Linked DNA regions of Schizosaccharomyces pombe. The protein of the gene in region 3 interacts with the protein of the main gene of each other region in a pairwise test. Each region holds a gene or a part of one and is shown on either strand. Other genes may lie near its edges.

The links.
Region 1: the proteins of man1 (region 3) and ima1 interact in a two-hybrid assay, tested with the Schizosaccharomyces pombe proteins (2 studies listed by BioGRID).
Region 2: the proteins of man1 (region 3) and gda1 interact in a two-hybrid assay, tested with the Schizosaccharomyces pombe proteins (2 studies listed by BioGRID).

What each region holds. Positions count from the first base shown.
Region 1 is NC_003421.2:1,885,612-1,893,440, reverse strand, and holds ima1 (inner nuclear membrane protein Ima1), read left to right. Parts: upstream 1-2,576; 5' UTR 2,577-2,968; coding exon 2,969-4,816; 3' UTR 4,817-5,338; downstream 5,339-7,829. Other genes in the region: SPOM_SPCC737.04 (uncharacterized protein), read right to left, coding at 79-1,344; qcr7 (ubiquinol-cytochrome-c reductase complex subunit 6), read left to right, coding at 5,486-5,899; SPOM_SPCC297.06C (uncharacterized protein), read left to right, coding at 6,787-7,479; SPOM_SPCC297.05 (diacylglycerol-binding protein), read right to left, coding at 7,752-7,829. UniProt on the Schizosaccharomyces pombe protein: Inner nuclear membrane protein that specifically binds to heterochromatic regions and promotes the tethering of centromeric DNA to the SUN-KASH complex.
Region 2 is NC_003424.3:1,695,141-1,702,653, forward strand, and holds gda1 (Golgi nucleoside-diphosphatase Gda1), read left to right. Parts: upstream 1-2,730; 5' UTR 2,731-2,897; coding exon 2,898-4,568; 3' UTR 4,569-5,022; downstream 5,023-7,513. Other genes in the region: TIM23 translocase complex subunit Tim14, read left to right, coding at 12-59, 113-484; hydroxyacylglutathione hydrolase Glo2, read left to right, coding at 1,431-1,549, 1,692-2,343; SPOM_SPAC824.09C (GTPase-activating protein), read right to left, coding at 5,177-5,819, 5,958-6,002, 6,074-6,152, 6,222-6,265, 6,310-6,461. UniProt on the Schizosaccharomyces pombe protein: After transfer of sugars to endogenous macromolecular acceptors, the enzyme converts nucleoside diphosphates to nucleoside monophosphates which in turn exit the Golgi lumen in a coupled antiporter reaction, allowing entry of additional nucleotide sugar from the cytosol.
Region 3 is NC_003424.3:5,232,412-5,241,652, reverse strand, and holds man1 (LEM domain-containing protein Man1), read left to right. Parts: upstream 1-3,274; 5' UTR 3,275-3,334; coding exon 3,335-5,869; 3' UTR 5,870-6,497; downstream 6,498-9,241. Other genes in the region: SPOM_SPAC14C4.07 (transporter), read right to left, coding at 1-861; poly(A)-binding protein Nab2, read left to right, coding at 1,836-2,417, 2,461-2,559, 2,606-2,848; SPOM_SPAC14C4.04 (uncharacterized protein), read right to left, coding at 6,557-7,360; mek1 (meiosis-specific serine/threonine protein kinase), read right to left, coding at 9,087-9,241. UniProt on the Schizosaccharomyces pombe protein: Required for correct meiotic chromosome segregation.

The DNA of each region.
Region 1 (7,829 bases), on a different chromosome or scaffold from region 3:
ACTAATCTTTTAATTTTTAATTTTTTTTCAATAAACCGAATTTCTTAAGAGAATGCACTTGTGAATATGTAGTATGTATTAAATCCTCATGGGGTATGGGGTAAGATCTGCCTGGAATCCAGCAATGTTATGCCGTAAGTAAAACATTTCTTTTGTTTCCAAGCTATCGAAGCAACCTAGAGGCATGGTAAGATCAAAAAGAGGCTGCATATAACCACTCTTTTTAACATTTTTGAATTCCAATTCTTCGCACACATTAAGGTCCTTTTTGAATTCTTGACGCCATTTTTCCATTACTCGACGCTTGGTGTTCTTTTGAAAAATTTCACAGTCAACCGATCTAGAAAGGAAAGGGCATCTCAGTTCAACAGGCAATACTGTTTCCATCACAGTATTGGCTAGATAATTTTGAATGGGAAACGCACGTGCGTGATTACCTATAGAGAGCATAAACAACAACCATCCAACTTCTTCTTGACTTATCGTTTTGCTTTGGAAAATTGGTTCATTGCTATATTTTGGTAAAGAACTTTTAACACTAACTTCAGGACTCTGCTCCAACTGGATATTGCACATGTAACTTTTGTTGCAAATGGCGGCCCAACTAGTTTGTCCTTGGAATGAATAAACGTCTCCCGGTCGTACCAAGTACATTCTAATATTGCCAATCCGCTTTTGTACGCACCAAAGATGAAATTTCGTGTACTTATTGGAAGTGACCTGCCGGGACACGTAGATGATCATTGCTCTCCATAGGGAGTCCTTCATGTCGTCAGTGTAATAATCGTATAGTAAAACATGTCGAATTAATACTGGCAAGCTATAGTTGCCGGTAGAAAAATGCATCGAAAGGCTTAATCCATCTACTCGATTCTTCTTTAAAAAAGCCCCTAATCGTTTCTGCACCAAAGGCATATCTACTTTGAACTCGTACACCTGTTCCTGCATCGGTGAATATTCAGAAGACACTTGCTCAACACTTTTGAGATATAGTTTATCCTGTCGACGCATAACAATATCCACTAACCCCCCTAAAAACGGATTCTTTATGAGACCTTTATTTCTCCCAGACACTACTACGATACCCAAGCTTTTACCTGTTAAATTCTCGATGGATAGATTACGATCCAACTTGGATAACCAATCCTGACTCGTAACATTAATATTCACATCGCCCGTAGCCTTAGCAGGACTGTTGTACTCGGCTTTGCGAGATTGATAGCCCGGATCCGATTTAAAAAACTGCTGGATTTTCCTTGTAGTCTTTCTCAAGAAAGAGTTTTCCTGACCTTCATCATCAACTTCTCTCAAAATATCCAAACCCGATTGATTAGATATCGACATATTGTCGAATGTCGGTAAAATACTTTGAAACTTTTAAAACTTCGAGAATCGTAGAAAAGAAGAAAAAGGATACCAATATCCAGAATCTCAAAACCACAGTGCGTCCAACTTAAAAATAAAAGGTAATGAAATGAAGTAAAAAAAAAAAATTATTAAAATTTGGTTCTTTCCAAAGGGCTTTGTTTCCTGTTAAATACTAAATATGAAATCGTTTATCTTAGCTTAGCCATTTTGCCATCTTCATCATGCTTTTCCTAACAACGCTCCCCAAGCCACGTAAAACATCAACTTTCGCAACTCGTCCTATTTCAAGTTTACGAAGACATCCAATTTCCTAATCGTCTCTACCCTATAATATTTTGTATAATCATGGTCTAAGCCATTTCATCGTAGCGATGAGCCTCTCGTAAGTTAATTAATGGCGCAGCATATCAATTTTAATCAACTTGTAATAGAATAGAGATGATCATGCTGTCTATTGCTTATAGTTACAAGACTAGATTTCCTTTCTCAACATGCAATAAGGATTGAAAAGTAAAAATGAACTACTTGTATGAAATTTTCGTTTTCGTGCTTAATTCATGATTATGACCTTTTGGAGTCAGTGACATACACCGTTTCCATTGACAGACATTATTGAATTTTTTTTTTACAATGGGGCAACAGTCAATGTTGGCGCAAGCTTAAGATGCAAATGCAATCTTTCATTTAAAAGCGGCTTGTTTCATCAATACATTTGACATTTAACGATGGCTTGTAGGCATTGTTGTAGACATCCACTCAGCCTACATTTTGTCAATACTTTTCTACACAACTTCTCAAACTCGTTCCTTTGTAGCTTAAAAATTAAGCGAACTTAAAAACTATTAAACTTTTTGTTAAACGAATTATTTGCATAAAATACCAAAAAGATTTTTTGTTGACTTTCACCTAACAAATTAAGAGCGGTTGGTTTTATTAAAAAGAAAATTTATTAAGATATTTCTCATTGCATTCCACTTCAATGCGTCGTAGAGCATATCATAAGTAAGGCTCTAAAAATAAGCCACAAACACTGATCGTTCTTCTGGTACAATGGTTCAAATTTTTTTTTTCTAGGAAGCTCGAAAAAGAAAATACAAACAAAAAAAAATTAAACAGCTCATTTCTTCAAAAACTCCTTTTATCCTCAATTTGTTTGAACTTTGTTCTGACAACCCGCTACGAATTGGCTTGGGACCCTGCTGACGGTCGGCCTTTTCCCTATTCTCACCACGAGCACCGTGGGGAAACTGTATAGTCGAAATCTTCGAGTTTTCTTGCTCAACATTTCAAGAAAACTTTTATACTATTCAAGTGTATCTAATTGTTACTTCACTCGTTATTTAGTACTTCTCTTTTACTTTGTCAAGCAGCACAAGTGTTTGATAAAGGTCATTCTGTATAAGGGGTCCTCTGTACCATTACACCTTGTACCTTGATATAAAAGATATTTACATGCATTTTATTTCCGTTAACTCACAGAATATCAGTTGTTTGGTTTTCTTCTTACGTGTGCTGGTTTGACTTGTTGTTTCCCTTTTTTTTTTTAAATTTGCACACACAGGATTCTATGAGAACTTTGCATTAAATGGTATAATGGGAAATGGAATCTAGCCGATTGTTTACACTTGGATTGGGAAATTCCGATGATGGATTGAAATCCACTTTTGGTGATAAAACAGTAACTTGTTTTTATTGCAACAAGAAGAAGGAAAAAATTAGAGACGGAACGTCTACTTGGACTTGCTCAATTTGTGAAGCCACCAACCATATTGATGAGAAAGGTGATATCCTGGATTATCGACCTCCAACCCCAACTCAAGACAAGGGTGTTGGTCCTTTTTACGCGATACGGGATTTCCCAAGCAGTTCTTCCTTTCAGAGCCCCTTTTGTGAAAAATGTCAAATGAACCAACTGATTGTGAATCGGATGCTTGCTGATTATCTGCCAGACTCATCACATCCAGATTATCAGGCTTATGAGAAGGCATTACCAGAGTATAAAAAATCTATAGAAGAGAAATTTCCCATTGTTTGCTCTGAATGCTATGACTCCGTTCAAGACCAACTTGATGCCAATGATTATGAAGCCAAAAATCAGGTTTTAGGATATTGGCTGCAAAAGTCAAAGGAACAGCTAAACGCAAAAGTCCCCCATCACTATCCAAAAGCTTCTTTTGTTCTTTGGTTACTTCGTGGATTTGGTTTTTCGTTTTTCTATTTGCAATCGATTGTGTGGCATTTGTATCATTCTATGATAATAAGCTTATTACCAGATGGTATTCGTAATTTATTTCTAAAAGCAATCTCTTACTTCCTATTAGATGGATCCTCTAGCAAAATTTTTTACTTTAATTGGCTTGGTTTTTTCGTTGTCTTTTGGAACCCGTATTGGTACAAAATGATGGACAATCCATCTTGGGAGCTTTTTGGGCGGGATCAGTATATCCAATGTCAGGCACTTTATCTTATTATCCGTTTAACTTGCTTGTATCTCCTTTCATGTTATGAGTCGGAAATTTTGAACTTAAGCTCGGATACCAATCTTGAAAGTGATTTTTTACTCCGTCAAATACATGCAGCCTTTTTCTTTGTTACCATTTGTTTTACATGGATTAGCATCTCATGTTTAAAGCCAAGTCCTCCTCCAGAAGTTCATTTGACTGGCGAAATTTTGAAACCACGCAAGAAGCGTCAGGAAAGTACATCTTCTGTGCATCGGATAGGAAAGGAATCGAGTGACAGAAAAGATGGAATTAGTGGGCAGAATAAATTGCAGCAATTTGCGACAATTTCAATTCTGAATAATACCAACGCAACGTCTCATTTGGGAAATCAGTCTGTTCGTGAGAGAGCTCCGGAGGAATCCCCTATGACTTTTCTTCAAAAAAAAATGGCCGCCCTTCCAACATCTAGTCCTGTTCGACCGATGCTTAAACCTACTCTTCAGCTTCAAAATTCTCCTTTATCGAAACTGGTTCCTCAAGAAGTGGGCAACAAAGTAAACGATTCTATTCATACGACGTCTAATCAGCCAAGTAAATTTTCCCTGAACCCTTCCATATCTCTAAAAGGTGATAACGTGATAGAGAAGAATTTACCTTTTTCCGTGTCTACTTTAAAGTCCACTGCAAAGAAAGATACTGGTAAAGCAGGGGATGGTCAAAATCGCGAAATTCAAAATGAGCCAGTGAGCCTTGAAAGTCATTTTAGTAAGTCTTTAGCCCTTCAGAACGATCCAACAGAAGTTATTCAGGTGAAAAACGTTCTTCACCGGAATCGTCGAAATGCAAAGCTTCTCATTGCTTTCACAATTTTGTTCCTCGTTGGGTTAATTTGCGGATGGCGTTTGAATCGTTTTACTATGTTCATTTACTATTTATGCATATTGGTGTTAGCCACATATTATGTTATGAAACACAACTTTTATCCTTTAAGAAAGGTGGCTTGATCTGGTTACTATTTAAAGAAGTGGATGCAAAGTAATATGGAATATATTCTTTTGCAAACCAATCATTCATTAATTTATCCAATTTTGGAATAAATTTCGTTACTAATATTGCCAGAGGCGGTTATGTCGCTATCATTTGTTTAAAGTTTTTCAGCTCCTTTCTGGCAACTCGACATATTCGAGCTAGCGCATTCGCACAAATGGGATCCAATATAAATTTACTTTTTTTTTCCTATTAAAGCTATATAATTAAGTATTTTTCATACTAACGAGTTTTATTTGATAAATTTCATTCGTTTCAATAGGTTAGTACTGAAAGAGAACATGTAACCTGAGCAAACTTCTGGTTCATACGAATACTAGCAATGGTGCATTCCCGAATATATGTTAGACACGTCGTTAAATTAGTTTAGGTTATAAAATCGTTAGAGTTAAACAATAACTTAAGAGAAATGAGCCGAGAATACTAGGATATTCAGATTTTCATTACTTTCTAATTCCGCTCAGGATTCTATGTGCAGGTAACATCAGGTGACCGAAGGATTCATTGGCATACTATAGGGCCATGAGATCTTACCTTCTTCCAATATTCAAAACTAAGAGTTTTATTGATTTCAGTGCAAATTTTGTAGTGACGAAATTTTTTTTTGCTGAAGTGATTGTTTAAGTATGAAACCTGTGTCTCTTGCCAAGTATATTCAAAAATCACCATTTTTGACGAAATTGCTTTTACCCATCTCCAATGCCTATGTGCATTTGTCAGGATACCGTAAATATGGTCTTCGATACGACGATTTGATGTTGGAGGAGAATGACGATACTCAAAAGGCGTTATCTCGTTTGCCTAAGATGGAATCCTACGATCGAGTCTATCGTATTCGCCGTGCCATGCAACTTAGCATTGAGAATAAAATTTTGCCAAAATCTGAATGGACAAAGCCTGAGGAGGATTACCATTACCTCAGACCTGTTTTAGCTGAGGTTATCGCGGAGAGGAAAGAGCGTGAGGCCTTCGACGCTCTCATTGTTAAGAAACCCGAGACTCAAGCCCATGCAACATCTTCTCCTGCTCATGCTCATTAAAAGTTTGCATGTCCTCCTTTAATCCACTTATTCCTCTCATGAAAACCGACAAGAAAATTAAAAGAGTAGTAAACGGATGTGAGAATTTTATTTTCTAAGTAACCCCCAACTCCAATTTCTAAAAAGGAAGACAATTTATGCACGTATCTTATTTCATCGGTTATATCAGTCGACAAAGTACGTGGAAACGAAAGTTTTTATATTGCTGTTTATCTGTACTTTGACTTTACTATGTGTGCGATTAATTTTCTACGCCGCTCTGTTTTTGCTTTGCTCTATTTTAACTACTGGTATATCTCCCATCTCTTTGACCTCTCCTCTCTATGCTTTCAGTTTTCATATTTTAATTGAACAACGATTTTTTCTTATTTTTTATTTTTTGTAGCTGCTTTTTCCTTGACTGTTATCTTTGAAAGAGAAACAATTTTTTTGTTTCTTAGTTTCGCTTTCTGAAGATGATTTTGCAATTATTCTCTCGCTGAATCAATTATAGCTAATGGTTGGTATAACATAAGTTAGTGAACAAAACATTGTAAGGCAAACCAACTAATGTAGTATTTTTTTTAAATCGTGATATCAAATTTTAAACTTGTTAAACAGACAAACTTATTTTGAGAAATTTTATGACAGTTTGGCATTGTATTTATTGATTTAATTAAGCTTACTCCTATTTGACTTTAGGCATACTCTTCCTTGTACGACTTCAAGCTCATGAGCTTTTCACTATCTGAAATGTTGTACCCAGAGTCATAATATATGAACCTCCGATCGACGTAAAGTATTATTGAATTTAATTTTATTTATTTCCGCGTTTGTTTAACTTGTTTGAGGAACTTGAAAAATTACAAGAAAATCATGTACAATTTTGTTCGAAATATTTATTGAATATGCAGGGGAAAATCAATTATAAAGACATTACTCAGAAAGAAATGTTCAATGAAATATTTAAAGAATATGTTAAGGAAGAGAAGCAGATCGATTTGGGTACTTGTGATCAAGATTCTGTACACGACCTCTGGCGACGCTTTGTAAAAAGATGGAATGATGGAAAAATGAAAAGTAAATGGTATTCGTTGGGAAAGAGAATATCTCAACCCTCTTATGCTCGTCTTGTAGGTCCAAGTCGACCAACTTTGGAAAATTTACAAGATCGACGAGAATTGCAGGAGCAATTAAACGAGTTGAGAAAGCTATCCCGAAAATCAGCTTTTAAATCGCAAGCTAAAAGGGAGACAGAATTGTTGGATGAAATTCTTCCAAAAGAACCAGCAGGAAGCAAAGAAGCTATGCAACAGAAAAAGAAGGAAAAACGAGCTGCTTTGAAGCATTATCGCGAAGCATCTGACAATGAAGAAGACTTGAAAGAAACCGACTTATACGGAGACCGGGACTCATTTCAGTCCCGATTGAAGCAAAAAAAACAACGGTCAGAATTCAGGGCTTCAAAACGAGAAATGGAAAGACTTGAGCGCGACCAAGAGCTTCGAAATAAAATTGAGGAAAGAAATAAAAAAGAGTTAGAAACAATTGAAAAGCTACGAGAGTTAGCCAAGGCTAGGTTGCAAGGTTTTTCTAGTTGATCATTTTAGCAATTACGCCGACATTTATAAAACCAAAGAAGTGTGCAACTATTCATTATGATTAGAGCTTTTTAACTATGAGTCAAACATAATGAGTATTTAATTTCTCTCAACTTAAGATGTATATGACTTTATATTAAAAATTCACAAATTTAATCAAAGTATAAAAAATGAAAAGCGTTTTAGAGTTGTTCGATTAAATATTTTAACTATAACCAAAAAGAAGTCTATTGAGCATTAATAATTCGTAAATAGTGCGTCTATAACCTAACCTAGTGTAAAGCATTGTCATTCTTCAACGAAGCTGGTATAGGTGCAACCTCAATTCTTTGGATTTCCAATGACTTGTC
Region 2 (7,513 bases), 3.5 Mb from region 3:
TTTTTGATTAGTCGTCTGCTATTCTCCTTGGAGTCGGTATCGCTGCAACGGCTGCGGCAGTATGTGAAAACAGAAAATAAAAGCTTGACATTTGAAATGCTAATGACTTTAGGGGAAAATTGGTGTTGACGCATTCAGAAAATACCGGAATTTGAATGGCGGAGTAAAGGCCTTTCTCAAGGGTGGTTTTGAGTCAAAAATGTCTAGGGCAGAAGCCATTCAAATTCTGTCATTGAACAACCGTACTTTAACTCGACAAAAAATAAAAGAGGCTCACAGAAGGTTGATGCTTGCAAATCATCCAGATCGGGGTGGTAGCCCTTATGTAGCCAGCAAGGTAAACGAGGCCAAGTCACTTTTGGATGCAGATCGATCAATCCGAAAATTTAGTTCATGGGCACTCCCTGTTTCTAAGCAGCGATCAATGCCTAGTGTTCTTGAAGCGGTGAAATGGCTTGAATACAGCTCCATACCGAAAGCTTAAAAGTGATGAATAATGGTCTGCATCGTTGTTAATATTATTATGTGCTGTATCTGCTGGAGAACTAATGTTTTCTTGCTAAAATTTAGCTGAAAGCTATGATGCCCTTAATAGAACTAATCATTGTGTGAATTATTGTTTGCTTTTCCAAAAAACTTTTACTATTCAGTTGCAGACACCTTTTGTCAATTTATTTTATTTTTTGCTTCTAAAGATGTGTGTTTGCTCCGTATAGTACATCGCCTTCGATTCTTTTCGTACTCTTATATCAATCCTTTTTCGGAAAATGCGAAGGAAACCCCGAAATTGTATTTTTTTTTCTTTCTCTACGCTGGAGCTATTTAGTAATTTGATTTCGAGCGTCAATGATTTTGTCTCCTTTTTGATGGTTGTACCGAGTGTTAATAGTTTAACTCTTTTTTAGATTAAATTTGAGTCTCTCATATGTTTCCGGACACTTACTTTCCAAAACGTTTTCAATGGAAAATTGTCAGGTTCTTTTCCATGCATTCCGAGTATCAATTCACAACAAGGATAAGTTAAAAGAAGAATTCGAGCATTTGATTTCCTTAGTCGTAAACAATATCATTCCTTACAAAATGTATACTCTTTGAAATGATTTTAGTTTTTGACTTTTGCGCTTTGAATGACATTGTTAAAACCTACTTCAGTAACAGTTTATATGAAGTATGTTTATTTAAAAATTTATTTCATAATCATAATTAAAAAAAATGAATTGATTAATAAACATCGAAATTTCGCTTCTAACAATGATTATTAACACAGAAGCTGCCTTTACATATCACTCTGACGTTACCGTATATAAGTGCGTACTGTCAAATTTTTTTTGACTTAAACAAATACGTTCTCTAAGATTTTGTTTCTTAGTAGAGTAGGAAGTTTAGTATATTCATTTTTTTTTAAAGTGCATAAGATAATAAGAAACGCGATGTCTTTTCATATTACGCCCATATGGATGTGGAAAGGAACGGGCAACAACTATGCCTATTTGCTGACTTGTGATAAAACCAAAATCACTGCCATCGTCGACCCTGCTGAGCCTGAGAGGTAAGTGAAGAGAATGAAATAACGACTTAAATACTGTTATCTGTGATTTCGGAAACATGATTTTCTCCTCCTGTTTTCCGAATTGTTTTGTTTGTGCGCTCCGTAACATTTAATTAACCAAACTAACATTGACAAACTCTAGTGTTATTCCTGTCATAAAAGAGAAAACGGCGAAGAAAGAAATTGATTTGCAGTACATTCTGACCACTCATCATCACTATGATCATGCAGGCGGCAACGAAGACATTTTGAGCTACTTTCCTTCTTTAAAGGTCTATGGCGGAAAAAATGCATCTGGTGTCACATACACTCCCAAAGATAAGGAGATTTTCAAGGTTGGAGAAGTTCAAGTTGAGGCTCTTCATACGCCATGCCATACCCAAGACAGTATTTGTTATTACGTTTCCTCTCCTTCAAAAAGAGCCGTGTTTACTGGAGATACTCTTTTTACATCAGGCTGTGGTCGCTTTTTTGAAGGAGATGCCAAACAAATGGACTACGCTTTGAATCACGTCCTTGCTGCTTTACCCGATGATACCGTAACTTACCCTGGTCATGAATACACCAAATCAAATGCCAAGTTTAGTTCCACGATCTTCTCTACTCCTGAGCTTACAAAATTGGTGGATTTTTGCAAGAATCATGAATCTACTACTGGTCACTTTACCATCGGTGACGAAAAGAAGTTCAATCCATTCATGTGCCTTGGGTTAGAATCGGTACAAAAAGCAGTGGGCAGTAGTGATCCAATCACTGTTATGAAGAAATTGCGTGACATGAAAAACGCTGCTTAGACCGACTTTGAATTTATCTGATGATGTTTTATGTATGCCTTGGTAAGCTCGGTTGCTTTGCTTGATTCTACTAGGAGCTAGAGCAAGAATATAGTTGATCTATTTTTCAATTGGATCACATATACGAATTGAAGGCTGTTTAGCGGTGTCAGAGTAAATTGCATCCTGAGTTTATTTTATTCAAATAAATGTTTTCGTTTCTTTACATGTAAGCAATAAAGAGATTGATTATCTTAACTTCGATTAAGTTATTGTATTTACATATAATTTTGGGTGGCCTATACAGTCGCACTTTTACCGTAAATGATTTAACGCGATTAGAGAGGTATCCACACAATAGCATTTACAACTCTGAATATATGCTAAGCCAGTTTTTAATGTTTATTTAACTTGCCATCAACCAAGTAGTAAGTGTTGATAGGTGTTTTGGTGCCTACTAATTAATATAATTATCATAAAATCGCGTTCATTTATTCACTCTTTCTTATTTAATTGACTTCTTCACCAATTTATTTGAATTCACCAAATATCTCTTAGGATTACTCACTCATTTCATGACTCCAACTATGAAATCAATAGCCCGTAGGAAGGCTTTGTTAATTGCACTATCTATATTTGCTGTTACGTTCATTTTATGGAATGGATTCCCAGGCTCATCAAACCGACCTTTACCATCTTCAAACGACGAATTCCATTATGAGGACATCGAGCTTCCTTCAGGCTACAGAAGTGAAGGAGAGGTAGTCGATCTTTTGAATCCCAAGGATGAGTTAGAGGAACCTCTTTTTTCCGAAGAACCTTTATTTCCTGTTACTACCTCTATCCCTACTAAGACTGCTGTTTCTAAACCTAAAATAGCTCCAACCAGTGCGGCAAAGGATGTAACATTTTCTTCTTCTATTGACTCAGATGATTGTTCTGTGGCTTATGATAACAGCAAGCCTGTTCGTCAATATGTTTTGATGATCGATGCTGGTTCCACTGGGTCTCGTGTTCATGTTTACCAATTTAACAACTGCAATCCTTCTCCCAAATTAGAAGAAGAGTTTTTTAAAATGATAGAGCCTGGCTTATCTTCTTTTGCCGGTGATCCTGAAGGAGCAGCGGCATCCTTAGACCCACTACTTGACTATGCCATGGAAAACGTGCCTGAGGAATATCGTCGTTGTTCCCCTATTGCTGTAAAAGCAACCGCTGGTTTACGATTGACTGGGGAAAGTGAGGCTAAAGCTATTTTGAAATCAGTGCGACAACATTTGGAAAACGATTACCCTTTTCCTATTGTAAAAGACGGTGTTTCTATCCTTGAAGGTTCCATGGAAGGTATATATGCGTGGATTACCATTAATTACCTTCTAGGAACTTTGGGTGGTAAAGCCACGCACTCTACTGTCGCTGTAATGGACCTCGGTGGTGCTTCTACACAGCTTGTTTTTGAACCACGTTTCGCTTCTGATGGCGAATCGCTTGTTGATGGTGACCATAAGTATGTTTTAGACTACAATGGTGAGCAATATGAACTTTATCAACATTCTCACTTAGGTTATGGTTTGAAGGAAGCTCGAAAGCTGATTCATAAATTTGTGCTGAATAATGCAGAGGCCCTAAAGGAGTCATTGGAGTTGCTCGGTGATTCCACTAGCATCATCCATCCATGTTTGCATCTCAACGCTAGTCTAACGCACCCGGATTCAAAAAGCGAAGCTTCTGAGGTCGTGTTCGTTGGCCCTTCGTTAGCCCATCTTTCTCTTCAGTGTCGTGGTATAGCAGAAAAAGCCTTGTATAAAGACAAAAATTGCCCAGTCCGTCCTTGTTCTTTCAATGGTGTTCATCAACCCAAGTTCACTGAGACGTTTACTGATTCTCCCATTTATTTAATCAGTTATTTTTACGATCGTATGATCAGTTTAGGCATGCCAAGCACTTTTACCATTGAAGATATGAAATATTTGGCAAATAGTGTTTGTAGTGGACCAACATACTGGCAGGACGCCTTTTCTTTAACTGACGCCCTTAAAGAGTTGAAAGAAGAGCCAGAGTGGTGTTTAGATTTGAATTATATGATTTCTTTACTTTCGGTTGGGTATGAAATCCCCAATAACCGACAGCTCCATACTGCTAAGAAAATTGACAACAAGGAACTTGGATGGTGTTTGGGAGCTAGTTTGTCTATGTTGTCAGAGCAAAACAATGGTTGGAATTGTAACGTGAAAGAAGAAATTTAGTTTTTACCTTCTTTTATTATGTTGAATGAACAACAAGCATATGTAAACTTGTTTGCTTAAAACCTCAGGAGGTCAAGGGTTAATATAGTTGATCCTGTTTTTTTTCTTGTTTTTTCTTTTTTCTTTTTTCTTTTCTACATTCGTCCATATTATTTCCATGTCTCAAAATTCGCTACTCCGCTCCTTTCAGTGTTAACTTCTTTACGGGCGTATAGCAAATCTAACATTTGTTGTACAACTAACATTAATAGATTGAGGGACATTCTTTATTCCACTGGTTTGTTTCATGTAAATCAAATCTTTCAAATTTCTGGGAAAGTTGAAATTGATCAAGGCAATTTTCCCAAATATCGTAGGCATCTTTTTACGGAATACATACAATGTGTGCTAGCTTTTAATACTTAATAAACTTTCAGCGATAATAGACCTAATAAATACATTTATGTCATTTATATTTACTGAAAAGTAGAAAATGTATTATAATGAAGGTTGAATATAGGAATCCATAAATGCCGACATCGATTGATGAACTTAAATAGCTAAATTAATGAAATATTTCAAAATAAGTAGTAAAAACCTCTGTTAATTTGTATAAGCGTCACTAAAGGCTATTTCCAAACATCATGAGAATTAATAATCTTACTGTCTAAAGAAGATCGCGGCCGAGAAGAATTGGATTGAACGGGTGATGCTCTAGCAGATGGTTGTGCACTGGTCACATTAGAAGTGAACATAGGCATCTTCCACTTATCTGCCACAAAGGAGGATCCTGTCGTAGCCGGTTGATGAAAAGCACCATAAGGTTGGCTAGACGTAGTACTAGTTGAAACTGGGGACGGTAGATTTTGGTATGTTGCATTGGTGGTTATGCTTGAAGAACTTACTTGTGGTCGTGGAGATGCATATAAGGAGAGAATTGAAGACTTTAAATCTCGTTGTCTAGTCGAAGGAGCATGCACAGTAGAAGGTTGCTTGGATAAAGAAGCTAAATTAGGAGACGACTGGGCTAAAGAAGTGGTAGCTGATATAGCTTCTTTCTTGGAAGTAACGTTGGTAACTGTAGCAGAAGAAGTGCTTTTAACTGAGTGAGCACTGGAAGATCGAGAAGCAGTATTAAGATCTAAAGAGGCGTTGACTTCTGAAACAGGTCTGGTATTCTGTTCCGGTTTTAGCGTTTCCGGAGAAGGAATTTCAGGGTAGAGTACCCATTTTTTAAATTCGTATTTCGTCTTTATAAAAGTCGCAATTTTACTAAATCTAGGTCAGAAAATATGCAGTAAAAAAAACAAAAAAGAAGCTTCCAATTTGCTAGCAACGTGTAAAGGGTATGTAGCCTAGAAAGATAACATTCAATGCCAGCTATGCTAAGGATTATCAATAAAAACCTACCTATCAGAGGGAACGTGACCACCCGCAAGTTTGGCTTCCCAATACCTATTAAAGTTGTTAGTTTTTATATTTTAGGACGTGAGCGCAAAGTTTTTTTGAAAAGTAGACAAACTTACAAATTAGCACGTTCATTTCCCCATCTTGTCATATTTTCAGTTTGTTCATCTGTCCATGAATCCAAATCAACAGATTTTACTAGTTTTGTCTGTTAATTTCTGATTCTGAGTTTTTTAACATTAAATTTTGTATCCTAGGTAATCATACCACGACTAACATGAACTCCAAGACTTCGATGCACTCCTGAGCATCTAACAAGTGTTAATGATTTCAATTTTAAGCAGCTATTACTTACCTGATACAAATGAAAACACCCAAGTTCCAACTTGCCCATCGTGGTTGTTCATTGCGCTTACAATCCGCGCAAACTTTGTTGTAAGGTTCCCGCAAAAGCGACTTTAAAACGAGGGCATTTGATTCCTTCTTTTTGCTTTTTGAATTTATCATTACACTTCAAGGATTACTAGGCAAATTATAAAACTGGTTAAGTCTAGTGATTTTGGGTCAATGAACAATCTACCGTATTGCAATGTTACAGTGCACAATTACGTCCCTTTGTTTTGAATAGCAAAGAAAAGCATCCTTCCTTTTCTGATGATTACGCGGTTTTTTATCAATCAACATCGTTAAAAACATTTAGCATTAAATATTATTATAATTAGCCACAGTACGTTGCAGTTCAAAGAGGTATACACAATTTGAATAGAAGTCATATATATAACAAAAGCGCAACTTGTGACTAATAATTAGATTAAAAACAGTTAGAAATATAATAGTTATTATTTAATTTTTTAAAAGTCTTTGAGGAGCAAGCAAAAAGTCCAAGTGAGAACTCTGTTGTTCAGTCTCAGCATACAGTAGTGTCAATCGATAATATGTATTGCCGAGAGGGGACTGATGTCTTCATGTGTTGCTAGCAATAAAAAAAGATAACAAGGAAATTCGATAAATACATGTTCATTTGCAAAGTTTGCCATAATTTGCCATTATGTGTTTATATGGTAAATCTGCCAATCTGACATAAACATATTTAAAAAAAAAAAAAAAGAGGAACAAAATATGAATTTATCCCAGCTTCTTAGAAAAATAGCATAACCAGACTTCTTCATCATAACTTGCTTGTATTTTTTTTTGCTAATGTACAAAAGCAGCAACAATTAAAAATCTATAATTACAACTGTGTTTACATAGCAACAATTACATTCAAACCCTTATTTATCTTTAGCTATACAGCTATTCTCAAACGAATTTCTCAAGAGGCAACATAGTACTTGATAAAGATTCAAACTTGATACACTACATCTTGACCCTATCTTTGAGTTCAGTTGGTAACCCAAACTTAGAAGCATATGGAACAGAAGAAACGGAGAAGGCAGATATTCATGCACCCTCATTTTTGTTAACAAATTTATCTGCTGAGGTTTATGAGTAACGATTTTGCATGCATAAATTCTTTATTTAACGAGTAAAATTACGTTATTATTAGACACGATTTTGAA
Region 3 (9,241 bases):
ATTTAATCCTAAATACCATGCACGAAACTCGGTCTTAGAACAATCTGCAACAAAGGAATTTTGGCTGGCTACAACGGTAGAAATATAACCGCCTAAGCCTTTCAAGGCAGCAGCAAAAAGAACAAAATATGGATGCTTGGGGGCATAGGACTGATATAAAAGCCATAAATCACCAAGCAGCAAAAATGAGACGGTAATGAAAAGTACAAGGCGGCGACCATAAATATCCCCCATTGTTCCATAATAAGCGGTGGAAAAAAGACCTAAAAAGGCGGCTAAAGAGCCAAAAGCGGCACGGACTTTTGAAACACCAGTAGTAATTTCCGCTAGTCGGCATATTGGGTCATCTGGGGACAACTGTGTAGGATCAAGGTTATAATGAATGGCACATAGTTCCTGTCGAAGTAAAAAGAGCAGAGGTATTTCAATCATGCCCCAAGAAAAGGCATTAATAAAGTTTAATGGAAGAATCAAAAGTGGAGATAAAGAACGTCTTCTGGCGATTTCACGACAACAGTTATCATTGTTACATATAGATTCATTATTATGATGAGAATTAGATGAATCTGGTTCATTGAAAGAGATGGGTTCATTAGAATTGGAGGTAGAGTCGTAATTTTTAGGCTTCGCCTTAAATGAGTCATGCGAGCTTGACTTTGCAACGTTATTATTGCTTGAACTGGCACCATTGGTTTCATGCTTTAATGAATGAGAATTACCGTTGCATGCAGAACCTTTAGCTTGCAAAGGACAATCAGAACAGTATTCTCTTTCTGGTGAAGGAGTTCTGGATCGAAAGGGCTTGTTCACTGACGGATCGGAAATTAGTAATGGAGTATGATCATCATCGTGTGAAGACATTTGTAGCTCCTTCTCAAAATGGTGGGTACGCTGATAAAATAGAATGTAAATTATAACCCAAATACTCTTCTACTCGAAATGTTCGCAATAATCAATTAACTCGTTGCCCTCAAACTGCAGCATCAATTGTAAAATTCCTTGCACCTATATCCTAAAAATTTTTCTATATGCAATATATACGTTTCACAACGTTTTCGATTTCGAGATAATTAGAAGACTTTAGGTAGTTGGTGCTACTAAGAAGGTTGAGAACCGAAGGAAAATATTTGCTCGAGAAAGTAATTTTGAACTACTAGTTACTATGAAGAAATAACTATATTCCAAAATGACAATGCAATGTAATTGCTTTGTAGTTGGCTAAGCCTTTAGATGTATATATATTAGACGCTTAGATTCTGGACTAGTTTAATTAATGCTGTTACGTTGTGGCGTTATAGTGTCATCGTTAGTCGTTGAATAGTTCTTATAGTGAAATTGGGTATAATATTCGAAAAAAAATTAGCAAACTCGCTATTTTATGCTATTTATTAATTCTTTCTGTTCTTACTGTGAAAGATATTTCTTATATTCCACTTACGTTTGAACTGAGGCTCTTGCTGTATTTTAACTTACGGCTTGCAGTATCAATATAACTATTGCTACTAGAAATTACCTTTAGTCTACGTATTCCATTGAAGCTCTCCGAACGCATCATCTATAGGAAGTTTATTTCTTTTGGAACGGCAAATTTGCCAACTTCTTGTCTGTGAACATATTTTTGTGATTGTATTCTTTCTTCTCAATTCCTTTATTTCATGCTAAGTTGAGCTATTTGATTTCATTTTAGAGCATATACCGGTACATAACTTATTAAATTCTGATTCCATAACAGGAGTGGAATTGATTTACTAATTCTCGGAGTACATTTATTGTAAATTTGAGCATCTCTATTATTTTGGCTTATTTTAGTTAATTATTGACTGTAAACCAACAACATGACTACATTACTGGAAACACCTGGATATAGTGAAAAACTTCATGATTCGATTGAAAAAAAACTTTCTGAATATGGGTGGGGAGAAGAGGCTGCTTCTCTGGCCGATTTTGTTCTTGTGATGCTTAGCAATGGAAAAACACAAACTGAAATTAATGAAGAACTAGTTGATTTAATAGGGTCCGATTTTGATACTAGCTTCTCACTTTGGTTATTTAATCAAATTGAAGAGCTTGAAAAATCAAAAAATGCTTCAGTTGAGTCAGTCAGCAAGATCGACGAAATCGATTTTATCGAGAAGGAGTCAACTGACAAGTCGCAGCAATCTTTCTCTGTGCCGGAAACTAGCATACAACCTCAATCTTCTCAAACTCCTAATATAACTTCGTTACGTGAAGAGAAGGAGCTACCTACTGGGCGTGTCGGACAAAAGCTCAAACTTACATCTCAGAAACAGCGATTCAATCCCATGGCAGCTTCGTTTAACTACTCGAAATCCGTTATGCCTGCTGCCAAGCGTGCTCTCACTCAAACCCAAGAGGTCCCTTTGTGCAAATATGCCGATAAGTGCTCCCGTGCTAACGTATGTATTAATATCAGATAATTTGTTAAAACTAACTCTTTAGTGTATATTTGCTCATCCGACACCAGCCGCAGCCCCAGGAGAAGGTATGGTCCTGAGCAGTGAAATGTGTGCTTCTGGTAAAGAATGCAAAGCTGCTGATGTAAGTACCATAATAATTTAAATCTAACTATTACTAACGTATACAGTGTGTCAAGGGACATCCATCTCCAGCTACGGTTACTACATTACCACCTTTCATGTCCATGTCAACCATTCCAATTCCTTGTAAATATAAACCGTGTTTGAATCCAGCTTGTCGTTTTATCCACCCGACGAAAAGCAGAAATATGACATGGCGGCCACCCTCTAAAACAGAAGAGACGTCCCTGAGTGAACGTTCGTTTGCTGTTAACGAGTCAGAAGAACAACTTCATGTTCCTTCTGTGTAAATTTAGAGAATTATGATACTATTTCGTGTTCGTATAATTGGCACATATCTACTTTTGATAGTCAAGCCAGGATACTTCGTTTAAGAACATACCTTCTAGAGTTTGCAAACTTGATATTTATTTTATTGTATAGATTGCTAAAACGATAAAGTTTTATTTGTCGCTACGTTTGCTGCAATCGGCAATTATCAAGTCGCTAAATTGATTTAAAAAATTTGTTTTCGTTATATTGATGTCTTTTTAGTGAATGAAAATTTTATTTTGATGTGAATTATGCAAATAATGATTTATTTACTTCTTCGGTTAAGTTAATATTATACATATTCAAATACCCACGTTTGTTGACATTCATTACTAAATACATCTTATGTTACTTGTTGGTTACTTGGCTTACACCATGTTGTTGACAACAATCACTTGGTATTTACATTCGCCAGTTTTACGTCTATACACATACCCTTTAGTTAAAAGGTTTTTTTTAATTGAATGGAGGTCCCTTCTTATTTTGACCCCGATTATGATCCTTCGTCTCTTCGAGTAGTAGATTTGCGTAATATATTAACTGAATATCAAATATACTATCCGTCAACGGCGAAGAAAGCGCAGTTAATCACGCTTTTCAGTAAACTACGAAGGGCAAAAAATGGCTTGATCTCTATGACAGAATTGCAGCAAAAGAACGTTCCTCCGTCTTCTCGTAGTCCTCGTAGAAGGGTGGCAGGGGTTACGAATAATGTTACTGCTCGAATTAGCTCTAAGAGAAAAATAAATATGGTTGACGAGGCTAATGATACAGAAATTTCTAAAACTTCACAATTTGAAGATAATGTGATGGGGATGTTACAGGACGAGAACGTTCAAGTTTTGAATACTAACACGATAACCATTTCAGAAGAATCTGAATTTCATGCCTCAAAGATTGCCAAAATAGATTCGCGAAACGAAGAAATAACACATATACCATTTGAGACGCAAACTGAGCTTAATGCGGCAGTTGTAAACCTCGACAACTCAATGGAATCGTCTTTTTCAATTGTCCAGAATTTAACAAACAAGGATTCTTCTGTAGACACCGCTACTTACGATTTTTCTGCAGAAGTTGGTAATATCGTAACACCTGCTTCAAAGTTTTTAGACTATGATCAAAGCTATCTTGTTAATGCCTCCGTGTCGGGTGATCCAACGCCAGTAAAGGTATTGAACACGACGTCTCCAAAAAGCGAAAATCCATTGAACCAAAGTTCTTTTCTCAGTTTCTTAGGCGAAAACCTAAAGCCTAAGTTTACCTCCCGTTCGTCAAGCGTTTACGCTTCTCCTATCAAGTCGTCGTTGAATTCGCTTGAATGTAATCCAAGTAACCTTCTTTCAGTCAGAAAAAATTTTCAACAAAGTTCCGACTCTTATCTCAAATCAAACAAGTCATTTGACCAACTCAACAATTTGGTTGGCTTGTCTACTGGTAATTCGGAGAACTTCACTCCAGAAAATAACAGTTTTTCATGGACTCATCCCAAAAAGAATTCATCATCACCCCTTCCTCAATCTCAATCTTCCTCAATTTTTGTAGAACACCTAAATCAGCTGTACGAAGCAAATGCATCAATTCATCGTCCTGTCAACCCTGCGTTTTCTACAAATTTTGGGTTAGAAGCATCTAATACATCGACGCCAGAGAAGAAAAAATTTGATTCCCAAAAACCCGACGATGATTCGGTTAATGAGATTTCTTCTGATCTCGGTCTTAGTACTACGGGTATTGATCGCGTGGAGGAAAATATTTCCTTGACTAAGGATAGGCAACCTAAAAGGCCATACTTTAGTCTTGGTTCATTCATTTCTTTAATTTTCTCTTTTACCAAAGTGGTAAATTCCTTATGGCTTGTATTGCTTGTCGTACCTCTCTTGGGATTTGTAGGCTTTTGGCATCAAGAAGTACAGCGCGTTGGCTTCTGTGGAGTTCCTGCCGAACCTTATCCTTCTAGTCTATATTATCTCCAACCAGGAGTTTTACGTTCCTCTATTGAGTCTGCATATTCATTTGCTCACTCTTTAGGAATTGAAGCCTCTTGTCAACCTTGTCCTGAGAACGCTGAATGTGGTTTCAATCGTCAGTTATTTTGCAAAGAAGGATTAAAGGCTTCGTTTCCTTTACTTGCAGATTTCGGCTTAAAACCATACCCACGATGTATTCCGAATACCGTGAAGGTTAATAAGGTTGAAGAGATGGTGCAGGCATTTATGTCTATTATCGGAAAGTGGTACTATAAAGCCCCTAAAGAATTTGCCACTTTTGAAAGTGCAAAGAATTTAAACGGAAAATCATTTGTTGACAATTTTAAGGATCGATATTACATGTATAAGCAGGACATCGATAATGTAGTCGGACTTAAAGATTTTAAAGTATATCTGAAGACTACTTTAAACCGTCTATATAATTCAAAGCTGACAAGAAAAGTACTATATTACTTATTTTCTCCACTATTTACTCTTGAGCTATGGAAGCTCCGAGTACGTGGGGCATTGAGTAAATTTCCGACTAATTGTTTGCGATCTGTCTACTCTCATACAGTTTCCTTAATGAAGTATTTGACTTCAGCAGTTATATCCTGTTGGCGAATTTACTTGTTGATTGGTATATTGGCAGCTATTACCGGTACCGTTGTATGGCGAATAAGAGTCTATGCCAAGAAGCATGTAGTAAAGCATGGAGTCTCCGTATGCGTTTCACATTGTATTGCTAAGCTACAAAAAACCAAGCTAAAGTCCTTGACAGATTTTTCTGTCAATCCTCGTGTAGAAGTCGTGCAGCTACGTTCTGACTGTTTTGTATCTGGAGTCGCAGATGACAAGGGCCTTTTTGAACTTGTACATCTCCCTTTGTCAATTCAATTAGAAATATGGGAAAAGGTGGTTTCAGTCCTTGAAGGAATGGTAAGCGTAAAGGTATGGGACAGTGAGCGCTTGGCAAAAAATCGTGCTTGGGAATGGATCGGGGTTTTTTCAGATGACATTGCCTTATAAAATACGGTTAGATATATAAAAAATGACCTTAAGGTCAAACTTTATGAATGTCGTTTGGCATGATGATTTATGAATCTAGATACGAGTGCAGCATCAGTAGGTACTATTATGTCAACATTATTTTCCTCACGTTAATATAATTATTTTTTAGTTATTGCACTTTGTTAAGCACAGGAGCTTATAGATTGAAACACTATCGAAAAATTTAATCAACAGATTCGAAAATTTCATTAATTTAACATTGGTTTTTCTAATTAAAAAAAGAATATCAAATTTAGACCCGAACCGTTTGCATTAGCTGTCTAAAAGAGCATTTCAAATTAGCATTTGGCATCCGGCCTCAATGAAAATAAAGAGTTCCATGTGACAGTTCTTATTTTGAAGGGTTCTGGCATGTTTGTAAAAATTCAATGCCTCGACGGTATTGAACGGTACAGTCTAAAACAGGTCTAATACACTTTTAGAGTTCTAGGACTAAAAATGAACGATAAACAAGGGCCATAAAATGCTCCAAATCAAACAAAAGCCAAACTCGCAAATTGAATTATCTTTATTGCAATATAACTCTAAATACGCAGAAATATGAAATTTATAGAATATGAAATTAAAATAGAATCTGGGAAACTCAACAAAGAAATAATTAACACGTTTAGTATAAGATAAAATAGTAAAGACAAATAAGAAAGATTAATGCAATGCACTTGCTACGAGATTTCGTAAAGCTTTACAAAGTAGTTCAACATCGCCAGAGTAACGACCGGAAGCATAGAAAAACTTTTCGTCCGAATAAACCCAGTGAGCAGTTTTGGGCCCTGGTACGTATTTCGATTCAGGAATATAAGTATAAGTATAAGCCGGAGGATTAGATGCGCCAAATAAATAAGACGCTCTTTCCATATAAAGTGGAGTCGTAGTCGATTTAATCTCAAGATTGGGAGCAGCCCGCTGAACAGCGATTGCTCCTTGAGCCATTGTTGCTAAAACGCGGGTGCCACTAACACGGGCACATAAAGGTATATAGTCAGCTAACAATGAACTGAGACGAGGAGACTCTACAAGTTCTAAAACAGCGGGATCCTGCCCTCCTGGCACATAAACCAAGTCAAAGTTTTCAAAGGTAAAGCTCATATCAGACATATTTGAAGGACTTAAAAATTCTTTGGTAGTTGACATTCTTTCATAAATATCCTTAGTCTTGTATGTGGCACCGATGAACCAAGATTTCACTCCACTTAAAAGGCGCTGATCGGCTTGAGCAACAATACCAGTCAAAGTAGCAAAATTAACCATGAATCCCTCCTTTACAAAAAATTGCCAAGGATCGCAAACCTGAGTAACATCGTACCCAGTGTCTGGTAATACAATACACATCTTAAGCGTTCTATGCTTTCTACCCGATCTACCAACTGGAGTAGGCACCCACAAGGGATTGCTAAAGGGCTGCAACATGGAACCATCACTATTAACTTCACGAACAATGGGCATAGACATGATGATAGATAATTTTTAATAGTTTGTGAGTAAAAACGAGATTACAATAAAATAAACCAGTTGCAATCTATAATAAAGAAAATGGATGCAAACTTATCAAATGATTTCTAATTATAGCTAGAGAAGAATTTATGCTAACAGGAGAAGATTTGACAATCCAAATTTTTGCAGAAGTAGATCAAAGCTTCTTTTAATGAGTTCTGTATTATGAGTAAAATTGGTGGTACAATGTTGAAGACAGGAATGTTTTACGGGTACTGACCTGTATCCGTTGTTAATATTATACTATCACACATTCGTGAATCTTTACAGTTCATTAAAGTGGTACGCATAAAACCGTTATACCTCGTTAAATATTTTTGAATTAATGCAGATTGACCTGATTTTATAATCTATGAGCCGTTAAAGTTGATAATAATTAAATGAATTTTTTTAAAATATATTTACACTCTCTCTTGTGCTATTTGGAAATTTATACTGTCCTTAGGTCGACCAATATTGAATAAAAATTATTTAACGAGTAATGTTATGTTGAATTAATTTCATGAAATCATAATTATATTTGAACAAAAAGCAGCTATATTATGTGATTTTAGTGTAAATAAATGCGGAATTTTTGCGGCATAAAATGTTTTAACTTAATTAGCCTGGAAAGAGAATTTGACGTTTTCAAGTAATTTTACCAAACTCTGGATAAATCTTTTCTCATTCGATCTGATTTTTTGGATGTTCTATAACATTGCTTTTTTATAAAATTTTAATTTAATTTAATATATCTTTGCTTGAATTATCGTATTTCCCAAATTTTTTTGTCAAATTTATGTTTCATTAATATGACACAACTGTTAGCTATAATAACATAATCGTTAGTAGATGAATAAATTAACATTGAGTTTGGTTGAACGTTTTTAGCCAGGGTATTACTTCATCTTAGCTAAAGCTATTGAAAACTGTAGTTGCATGCAACATGTCTACTGTCATCCATTAAATCAGTCACAAGAAGTGCTATAGCTTGTATTAAATTCAAACCAAGAACAACACCTGACACAAGTGTTAATTGGATTTGTTAAAGATGACAACAAATTTGTAAACAATAATCAAAATATTGGTAGCAGAAAAGCTCCAACAAGATCAATCATATGTACAGAGCCACGCCTGCTTTCTCTCCCTTAAATTTCATGATCCGGATAACTTTAAGTACAGCAAATCTTCTACAGCTTCTTTTATTTAATTTCACAGTATTTTAAAAGCCATTTAATACATAAAAAACCTAATATAAGGCTACATTATACACAAGGTCAATAATCTCCTTTAGTATAGGGGTAGTACACAAGCCTGTCACGCTTGCAGCCCGGGTTCGAATCCCGGAGGGAGAGGATTATCTTTTTATAAAGTTTTTTTAAGCTATTAAAAAAAAAAGGATGCTTATATCTATAAAATACCAAATTTACGCTGATTGAGACTAAAAATTGTTTTTTTTTAAGGTAGGGAAAATGGCTGACAAATTGATGGTCACTCATATCTTAAGTAATAAAATTTCTTTATATTAATTGCGTAAGTTGGATTGCCTGATTAATTCTAAAGATTAAATGTGTTCATATTTTATAGTTTATAGCTAAAAATAACTTAATTAAGTAATGTTAGAATTACATAGTTCAGACACATAGCTTTTATGTGGAGAAACTTCGATCGTTTTATCAAGTTTATCGAATATTTTCTTACGTGGCTATAGCCGGGAATGTTTAAGAGGTTTGAGAATACGAGTTTCATATAATTTGGTGAGACGACTACTATGTCGCGCGAACCAGGGATGGGAAAGACATTGTTTGACTGTGAACCGATCTGGGGGATTCGTTTTTAAAAGATTTGATATCAGATCTT